Ovis aries: one gene and its partner. Each later gene encodes a partner of the first gene's protein in a complex. Links are inferred from orthologs where the notes say so. Each region holds a gene or a part of one and is shown on either strand. Other genes may lie near its edges.

Region 1 (4,411 bases):
CAGCACATAGGTTCTATGTATCATCAGAACCTGAGAGAATACATTATCTCAGTCTGATAGGAGCCTGACTTGGGAGTTCCTTACTGTGATTTCCCCTCCTTGCCGCTAAGAATTGTACATTTCAAAGCAAACATCAGAAAAAATACAAAACGTCAGAAGCAATTAGATTACGTAGCAACGTTTTTATCTTCTTTCCTGAGCAACATCTGTGGAATCCTCCTTGTCACTAATTGTGACCTTACATGATAACTTTAAAATTGAAAATCAACTTTTTCAAAAACGCTTTGAGACGCTCTCTTCCCTTCACTGACAGATCGTTTAGTTCATTTAAAATCGAAATTGTGGGAAGTCTCCTAATCCTTTGCATAGTCATAACGCCCAGCGGTTACTAAAGACCACGCAATATTCACAGGGACTCTACCCATGTTTTACCACCTAAATACAAGCCATTCTCCGATCTGGGTCCCGAAATTAGTTTAGCTTTTGAGAGTAGAAATACTAACATGTTCATACAACGAACCCGTTCTTAGATTTTTAAATTCTTTATATATTCAGATTTCTTCGACCCACCAGTAATATTCCGTTACCAACCAATAGTTTTACATTGCTAGCTATTTGTTTCCTTCGGAATTTACGAGCAATTTAGCCGCTTTAAGACAGGGGAAGAGAGGATCTTCCTATCAAGGAACCCACACAATGAGAGGCCTTTGGTACCCAAATGAAGCAACAATGAAAGACCAGCAAAGCTCAGAAATGTTCCTGAAAGCCAAGAATGCCACTCTGATTTCAGATTGCTGGAGTGCGCCCGCCTGGTAGCCTTTGTGGCCGAGAGGTCCAGAGAAGAGGGTCCCACTGAGGATGCCTAAGATGACAGTGGCCGACTCTGCTACCCGCCCGCCGGGACCACAAAGAGGAGTTAACGCTCCGCATCCCGTCACCAGGGCAACTCTGCAATCCGACACCGAGGCGCAAGATTCCGCATCCCGAGCCGCCGGCCGCAGGACCGAGGCGTTTCACAGCCCGGACGCGGGGACTCCGAGGCTCCCCAGACGCCGCCGTCCCAGGGGTACTGAGTGCAACTCGAGAGACGCCCTCTCCGTAGGCCCGGGGTCCGAGGCTCAGCCACCCTCAACCACCCGCCTCACTCAGACCTCGCCGGCCGCACGTGGCGCCGTGATTGCCCCGGGCAGTATCCCTCCGCGGCCGCGCCCCCGCTCAGTCTCCCCCTCCCTTCTCGGGACCCTCAGAGTCAGGGCGCCGCGGAAGGATCGCACGCACGCGCGCGCGCACGCCCCGCCGGAACGGCGGAGAGCTAAGGGAGCCACAGTGAGGAGTAGTCTCCAGCGCCGTCGCCGGCACTGCCGCTCCGCAGCCTGCCGCCGCTAGTTAATCAGCCCCGCGGTCGCGGGCGGGAGGGCGGCCGGGCCGGGCGCGCTCCGCGGCTTGTCCCTCACCGCCGTCCCCGCGTCCTCCCTCCGCAGCTCCTCGGGGAGGGGGGCGGTCGGTGCTTGCGCAGAGCCGCCTCCTCTCCGCCCCCGCCCCGCCTCCCCCCGCGCCGCCGCCGCCCGCGACCGCCGCCGTCGCCGCCGCTGCGCCTGCTGCTCCTTGCCGTCCCCGCTGCAGTGCGAAGGGCTCGAAGATGGCCGGTTGGCAGAGCTACGTGGATAACCTGATGTGCGATGGCTGCTGCCAGGAGGCCGCCATTGTCGGCTACTGCGACGCCAAATACGTCTGGGCAGCCACGGCCGGGGGCGTCTTCCAGAGCATTACGGTGAGGACCGGCGGGGACCTGGGTACCCGGCCCCGGACCCATGCGGGGCCGGCCGTGGGGGCGCCGCAGCGCGGGGCCGGACTCGGGCAGGGCCGCGCCGGCAGGTGTGAGGAGCGGCGGGCGCCGAGGATGCGGCTACCGGGCGGGCGGAGAGGCCGAGGCCCGGGGACGCCCCCTCGCAGGGGCTGCGCTGAGTGGCGGGGGCGGCGGCCGGGCTCGCCGGCGTTCCCACAGCTTGTCCGGATGAGGCTGGGGGAGGGGGTACGCACCGGTTCGTGGGTGGGGGGCCTTTTCCCTTTTCTCGCCCCCGCCCTGGGGTCCCCTGGAAGCCCTGAGGTTTGCTTTGTACATTCCCGGGTGGAAGCGGGGACCGGAGGAGCCGGGCTGGGGCGCGGGTCCTCGGGTGGTCTAGCCGCCCCTAGCTCCTCCGGTGACGGCGCGCCGCCCGCGCCGCGAGCTGTGGGAGGCGGCGGCTGCCCGGCCCCCAGGATCCTCGCGGCCACTTGGCGTAGATTTGCCGGTGTCCAGGCCTCTTGGGCTTGCGAGAAATGAACGCAGACAACGTAGGTGGATTCGTGAATCTCTGGCTCCATAGGATTTTTTTTTTTTTTTTAATTCTCCAAGATGGCGATCTGCCATTGATTTCTTTCCTATGGAGATTCATCGATATACCGTTATCCCCAGTTACGCAACAGAGTTCTAAAAAAAGGGGGTGCTTGGGGCTTTCAATAATCTGCGAAGACCGAGGGGATGTTCAGTTCTCCAAGTCCCTCCCTCTTTAGTGATCTTCGTAAGGGAACTAATGCAGATTAATGCTTCCCGGTGCCTGATTTTCTTGTGACTTGGTGGTTTGACTCGGTTGCCACATGTTTGGGGAATAACTGTCAATAAGCCCTCCAGTGCTGCTTTATTGTTTTGCCTCTTTCTGCACAAGGGTCTAAAATGGTGACATTATATCAAATACAGGACCATTCTCTTAATTTCCTACGCTTCACGCCCCCTTCCTATCAAATGCCAAAATTCAGGCCCCTTTACTATGGGTGCTACTAATTATTCTTGTACTGCTTAACATGTTTAAGGTCTAACTGTGTAGAACTCCTGATCCAGGTACTTTCCGGCTCTCTGTTGCCGCAGTGGACTACAAATCTTACAGAGAATTGCCGTCTGGCGATCAACTTTTTTCCTGCAGTCCTCTTGTCTTTGTGTGTGAGTTCCCGCTGTTTGGCTGGGAAGATTGCGGGAGTGTGCTTGGAAATGGCTGGGGCCTGCTATGACTCTGCAGTTCTGATGGGGGCGACGCCTTCCTTCTTATTCATGGAATGTTAGAATGCACGTTTTCTCCTTTCCGGTTCTGGTCGCTACCTCAGTTTCTTTCCCACTCTCCCTCCATTTTCTCTGTTCTTTTATGGTTGCTTATTGCAGCGCTACAGACAGAATCCTCTTTGCATTTGCCCAGAAAGAAAACTGATTACTTAGGAGGGAGGGGAAGGAAAGTTGGAGAGGGAGTAGCAGCGAAAATAAAAGAGGAGGGAAATATGAATTTGGGGATGCGCTGAGATTCAGGGCTTGAAGTTCATACTAGGGGGGTATGTCAAGCTATTTGAAGCAGAGTAGATGTAACCAGATCTGCCAAGCATGGGCTTTGTTCCAGGAGACTTTCAAACAACTTTAAGTTTGATATGACAAGACTGTTACGTGATTGTGATAGGTAAGATTTTGTTGAAAGTTTCTGGGTGAATCTTTACCATTACATAAGCACTTCGGGTACCACCTGACTTGAAACAAGTTTATAAATAACTCTTAAGTTTGTAGTTTATCTAGTGTCATCTACTAACTGGAGATTCTTTGCATAGACTGGGCTTAGTTAACAGACCACTCTCTTAACTGTGAAATCTAACTGATATAAAATGTCATCCCGTTTAAGATTAAGTTATTTTTTAGAAATGACTGAAACTTGGTTTTACATTAATGAAATGTGGATGTCTTGTAGTGGTAGTACAAACTTGACACTTTTCCTGTTATACCAGGACAAGAAATTAACTAAAACTTTTTGTTTTGTTTTCTCTCTCTCTCTCTCTTTTTTTTTTTTTTTTTTTTGTGGTTGGGGGCGGGGGCAGCCAGTAGAAATAGATATGATTGTAGGAAAAGACCGGGAAGGTTTCTTTACCAATGGTTTGACTCTTGGTGCAAAGAAGTGCTCAGTGATCAGAGATAGCCTATACGTGGATGGTGACTGCACAATGGACATCCGGACAAAGAGTCAAGGTGGGGAGCCAACATACAACGTTGCCGTCGGCAGAGCTGGTAGAGGTGAGTACAGTACCCTTTTGGTTAATAGTTGCAAGTCACATTACAACTTATTCAGCAGTTTCTTTAACATTTTGAATAAAGTGTTAGTCCATAATGGCTATTAAGGTGGTTTTTGTGAACTGCCGAGCACTGAAGGAGGCACTGCTTTAGATTCATTTGCTCTACAGCAGCTGCATATACAGCCTCACCTCTGAGATCCTGACTTTATGCTGAAAATAGAATATTAATATCAGTTCTTCAGTTCCAGCTTTAGTAAACTGAAAGTCTAAATTTGTCTCTTCTGTATGTATAACTGAACCACTTTACACTTGAAATTAAGTTAATCAACTA
Region 2 (4,583 bases), on another chromosome or scaffold:
TCAGACTTGCCTACTTCCAAACTGACTTTAATAGGTAATCTGCTTAATTCCCCGGTGCCTCAATTTTCCCATCTGGGAAAGGGGGACGATCATAATAGTATCAATCTCTTAGAATTGCCATGAGGATTAATTTGAATCAGGCACCTGGTACAGTGCCTGGCACAAACGAGTTGCTTAATCAAATGGTCTCTCATTATTAAAAACAATAATAAATGAACCAAATTCTTCTAGAGTCTCCTCTACACTAAGAGTCTCAGATCTCTGCCCCACTTCCCAGAATTCCAGCTCAGAGTCCTGGACACAGCAGACACTCAACAAATATTTGTCAAACTGAGAAAAAAAAAAAAGAACTGTAATTTTCCATCTTAACAGCCTCTCTTCCAACTGTCCCCAAGACTGTCTCCAGCCTAACCAGCCAGAAATCAGAGGATCCCAGTGCCCTCCCATCCCTCAACACTGCTTAGAAATTTCTGAGGTATCTTGGGCCAGGCTTTTCTCTCTTTGAGCCTCCCTCAGTTTCCCCAGCAGCCACTAGACAGGGCCATGGGTCATTCTGAATCCTAGCTGTCCTGGGAGAAGGGGCACAGCCCAAGGCCAGTGTGGCCATCAGCAGGGAAGACCCTTCAGGAGATGGGAGTAACCCTCTGGTGGGACAGGCATCAGCTAACTTCTGCCCACCCCCCAGGAGATACAGGAGGTTTGGTCATGGCTCGAAGTAGCAGGGGGCCTTGTGGGAGGGCCAGGGCCTCTGGGACTGGGGGAGGCGGGGGCAGGAGGCTGGCCCAGACATTGCTCCTGCCCTTTTACGGTCTCGGTGAGTGAGGCAGCACTAACTCGGACATCCGCCATCCGCCTTCCACCGTGCCTGGGACCGGAAACGGGGGGGGGGGGGGAGCGCGCAAGGGGCGGGGCTGGGGGGGCAGTGGGAGAGGAGAATCCCCCGGGAAGAAGGTGAAGGAAGAGGGCTGGCTCCCCAAAACTGCCCTATCTCCCGGGCAGACCTTTTAGAGATGTTGCTATAATGGGGGAAAGGGTAGGCAGGAAGTCTTGTGGGTGTCTGTGGGTGCCCCCATCGCTCCAAATTCTCCAACAATCCCTTTTCAGCAGAAGGAACAAATGTGGGAGGGGGGGATTCTCTAACGACCACAAAAAGGAATGCCACCCAGATGTCAAAGGGCAGGGAATGTGGCGGATGAGAGAGGATGTGGGCCCCAGGGGCTTAATCCCCAGCGGCCCCCCAGGGGCCTCCCCCTCAAGCTGGGGGCTTTGGAGCAGGAAGTCTCTGAGAGAGTAGAGGAAGGGAGATAGTATTGTCAGGCTCAGGCCTCAAGGGAGAGATTATGGGGGGCCGGGGAGGATGGGAGAATGAGGGGGAGGGCCAGTCGGGTCCCCCAGTCCGCACCGGCTCCGCCCTCAGGTGAGCCCAGGAGTTTTGAGGGAGGCTCCGGGAAAAACAAAATCCCTGGATCCCTTGGGCCCCCCACCCAGGATTAAATTCCTGGGAAGATAGCTGGAACTCTCTGGGAAGCTTGAGTCCCAGGGGGAGAGGGCTATGACCTTGAGGTTTTCCAACGCCCCCCTCCTCCAACCGCACAACTCCGGACGGCTGGGTAAGGGGGGGCGGTGTTGAGAGGAGGGGGAGGTACGGTGGTGGGGAAAGCAGCCGGCCTACGGCGCTCTCAGCCCGCCCCCCCGCCCCCCACACACACACCAGCTGTCTCGACAGGTGAGTCAGTTAGACAAAGGCCCCCCTTCCCCCAGCTGCCGCGCCCCCTCCCTCTCCAGGGCCGCGCAGGTGGGCGAGAGGGGCCGCCCTTCGGTCCGGGGCCGGGGAGGCGCCCTCGGCACAGAGCGCTCGCTCCCTCCTAGGCACAGCCTGTTTTAAGCACATTGTGGGTGGGGAGCGGCGAGGAACGGGAGTCCCAACCAGACCCTCCAGGCTGCGTCTGGGTCCCTGGATCCGTCCACATCAACCTCCTTCACAGGGGGATGAACCGCCCAAATTTAGGGGTTAAGTACCCCCGAAGTTAATGAGCAAAGTCCCTCGTGGGAAGAATTTCCAGCGCCATGTATAGAGGGACCCCGAAAACCAAGCTCTACGTCTCAATCTCTCTTCCAGGTCCCAGGGGACTCCCAAGCAGGCCCCCCATAATCCCTCTCAGGGCCAGGTTGAGATTTGGGGGCAGTCTGAGTCCTGCCTAACCTCTAGCTTCTCTGCGGAGATTATTTGCCAACTTGGAGGTTCTCTGAAAAGTCTTAAAAATTTCGGGAGTCCTCGGAGCGCCCCCAAACCTAAGGGCTCCCAGGAGAATCTCACGGCATCACCCAAGCCTTGAGAGTCAAGGGGAAGTGGTCAGTGTTTGGAGCTTGTCCAAGGGGGCTCGGCCTCAAATCCGAGGCTCCCAGTGCCCAGTCCCCAAATTCCAACCGGGACCAAGCTGGGGGGAGGAGGGGACAAAGGCAGGGCGGCAGGAACCCGCGCCGGCCAGGGAACGGTCTGGAGGCAGTTGGAGGCTCACCTCATGGCTGCTCGGCGGGCGGGCGGAGCGCCCACGGGCTAGGTGCTCCCGGGGCGCCCCTGGCTCGGGGTTCAGAGATTCAGCGCTGGCTCTAGGTTCTGCTCAGTCTCCCCCAGGGTCCCGCCCCATAGAGTCCGGCTTCCTGGGGGGGAACGTGGACAGGGCCGGGGCGGGTCCTCGGGCGCCTCGTCCCTCTGGGGTTCTGCTCGAGGGGTCCGTGCGGCAGAAAGAGGGTGCGGCGTCCCCTCTCCGGCGCGCCCCCTCGGCCGGCAGCAGCTACAATGTTACTCTTACTACTGTACTTCTCTTTGCTACATTTCGTTCCAAAATTCCACTCCCCGCACCCACAATGCCCTGCGCCTTAAAGGGGCCGCGGACACCTTAAGGCGGTGGGGTTGGGGAGGAGTTGGTGGAGGGCGCTTAAAAGGGCAACGCGGAACCTTCGACTTCCGCTATGTCCCTCTTCCCCAACATTTTTGCACAGCGATGCACTCTGGGGGTCACCCCCAAATTAGAGGGGAAGCTTGATAGAGAGGAAGGGATCCTTCCTTAATCCTGAGTTCTCTCCCACGATGGAAATTCTTAGGGGAATATCAGTGGGGTACAATTTCTTCTCAACCTCCTCATGGACTTTTTTTCATTTCTTTACATTCTACTCAGTTTGGGGGGTGAGGAGGGCCCTCGGGTCAAGAATAGATTTTCTCCGATTTTCTCCCTTAAATCCTACCTTCGGGACGCCCCCATCCCCACCCCAAGGTCTCCCTCCTTCCCCAATTTATGAGGGGTCACTAAGGGGTGATCCACCTCCCTCGCCGAGGAGGGGGATGGGTGGGGAGGGGGCCCACCTCTCTCGTTGCCCCCCACCCCCGCCCGCCCAGGGAAGGTGAGGAGGAAGTGGGCGCGGCCGGCCGCTGACTCACAACCGCAGGGTGTGTGTGTGGGGCGAGGTGGGGGGGTGGTGCAGCAGTGGACCTGGGTGGGAATGGGACTCCCGATCCCTGTCTGAATAAGGCTCCTGGCCCCCTACCCACGCACGCCCCGCCGTGACTCAGTTTCGCGTGCGGAGGATGGTGGGATCATGCAGCAATCCGAGGGCACGGAGTTGGGGGACCCTCCCTCTGCCGACTCCTGCGAGACCCCTCCCCCACGCGCCAGGTTCAGGCTGAGTCCCTACACCCTCCCCGGCTTCCGCACCGGGACCCGCAGACTCCACCCCCACGTGACGCCAGCTATATGACCACGCCCCTCCTGTAGAGCGCCACCTGGCCTGGGGGGCAGGAGTCTGGGAAATCAGTTGGAAGTTTAGAAATGGATAAACTGAGGCCTAGAGGCAGGGAATAAACCTGGGCTAGAGCCCTCTTGCCTGAGCCACCAGGACTCCAGTGGTTAATGAGAGTAAAACAATTCTCAGGGCCTAGCTGACTTGATGAGGGAATCAAGCTTCCTACCTTTTTCCTAAAGGAGCCTGCTGCCTGGACGATACCCTGATCTCTATCTCATTCTTCTAGGCCAGTCTCTGATATTAATTCTTCTCTGAAGAACTGAGTAATCCTCTCCCCTTCTCTACCCCACACTGCTGCTGCTACGTCGCTTCAGTCGTGTCCGACTCTGTAGGACCCCATAGATGGCAGCCCACCAAGGCTCCTCCGTCCATAGGATTCTCTAGGCAAGAATACTGGAGTGGGTTGCCATTTCCTTCTCCCCTACCCTACAGTGGAAAGCCTTAAACCCTGATCCACTGTAGGTTATAATTATCTCTCTGTGTGTCTCAGGCTGTGAGTCGTTTGGGGACAGACTTGAAAACCCCGGTTCTTTGTGACCATGGGCAAGTCCTTTCTCCTCTCTGGGTCTCAGCTTTCCCATCGGTGAAATGGGAAAGTGGTGTTTCTGTGTGCCACTTGCACTATAGTCAGCACATTTTTTGGTAAAGATCCAAATAGGGACTTCCCTGGTGGTCCAGTGGCTAAGACCACAAGTAGGGGTCCCTGGTTCCATCCCTGGTCAGGGAACTAGATCACACATGCTGCAAGTAAGACCCAGAGCAGCCAAATAAATAAAGTCCAA

The links.
Region 2: the proteins of PFN2 (region 1) and VASP are in contact, whole or in part, in a crystal structure (PDB 2V8C), measured with the Mus musculus proteins. The link is inferred for Ovis aries from reciprocal best matches to the Homo sapiens genes PFN2 and VASP. Residues at the interface, in NP_062283.1 of Mus musculus: Gly3, Trp4, Ser6, Tyr7, Asn10, Cys13, Tyr30, Trp32, Met131, Tyr134, Ser138, Phe140; in NP_033525.2 of Mus musculus: Gly165, Pro166, Pro167, Pro168, Pro169, Pro170, Gly171, Pro172, Pro173, Pro174, Pro175, Pro176.

Annotation. Positions count from the first base shown.
Region 1 is NC_056054.1:238,932,902-238,937,312, forward strand, and holds the start of PFN2 (profilin-2), read left to right. Parts: upstream 1-1,607; 5' UTR 1,608-1,639; coding exon 1,640-1,771; intron 1,772-3,888; coding exon 3,889-4,185; 3' UTR 4,186-4,411. UniProt on the Homo sapiens protein: Binds to actin and affects the structure of the cytoskeleton. At high concentrations, profilin prevents the polymerization of actin, whereas it enhances it at low concentrations. By binding to PIP2, it inhibits the formation of IP3 and DG.
Region 2 is NC_056067.1:52,890,328-52,894,910, reverse strand, and holds the start of VASP (vasodilator-stimulated phosphoprotein), read right to left. Parts: upstream 2,820-4,583; 5' UTR 2,525-2,819; coding exon 2,520-2,524; intron 1-2,519. UniProt on the Homo sapiens protein: Ena/VASP proteins are actin-associated proteins involved in a range of processes dependent on cytoskeleton remodeling and cell polarity such as axon guidance, lamellipodial and filopodial dynamics, platelet activation and cell migration.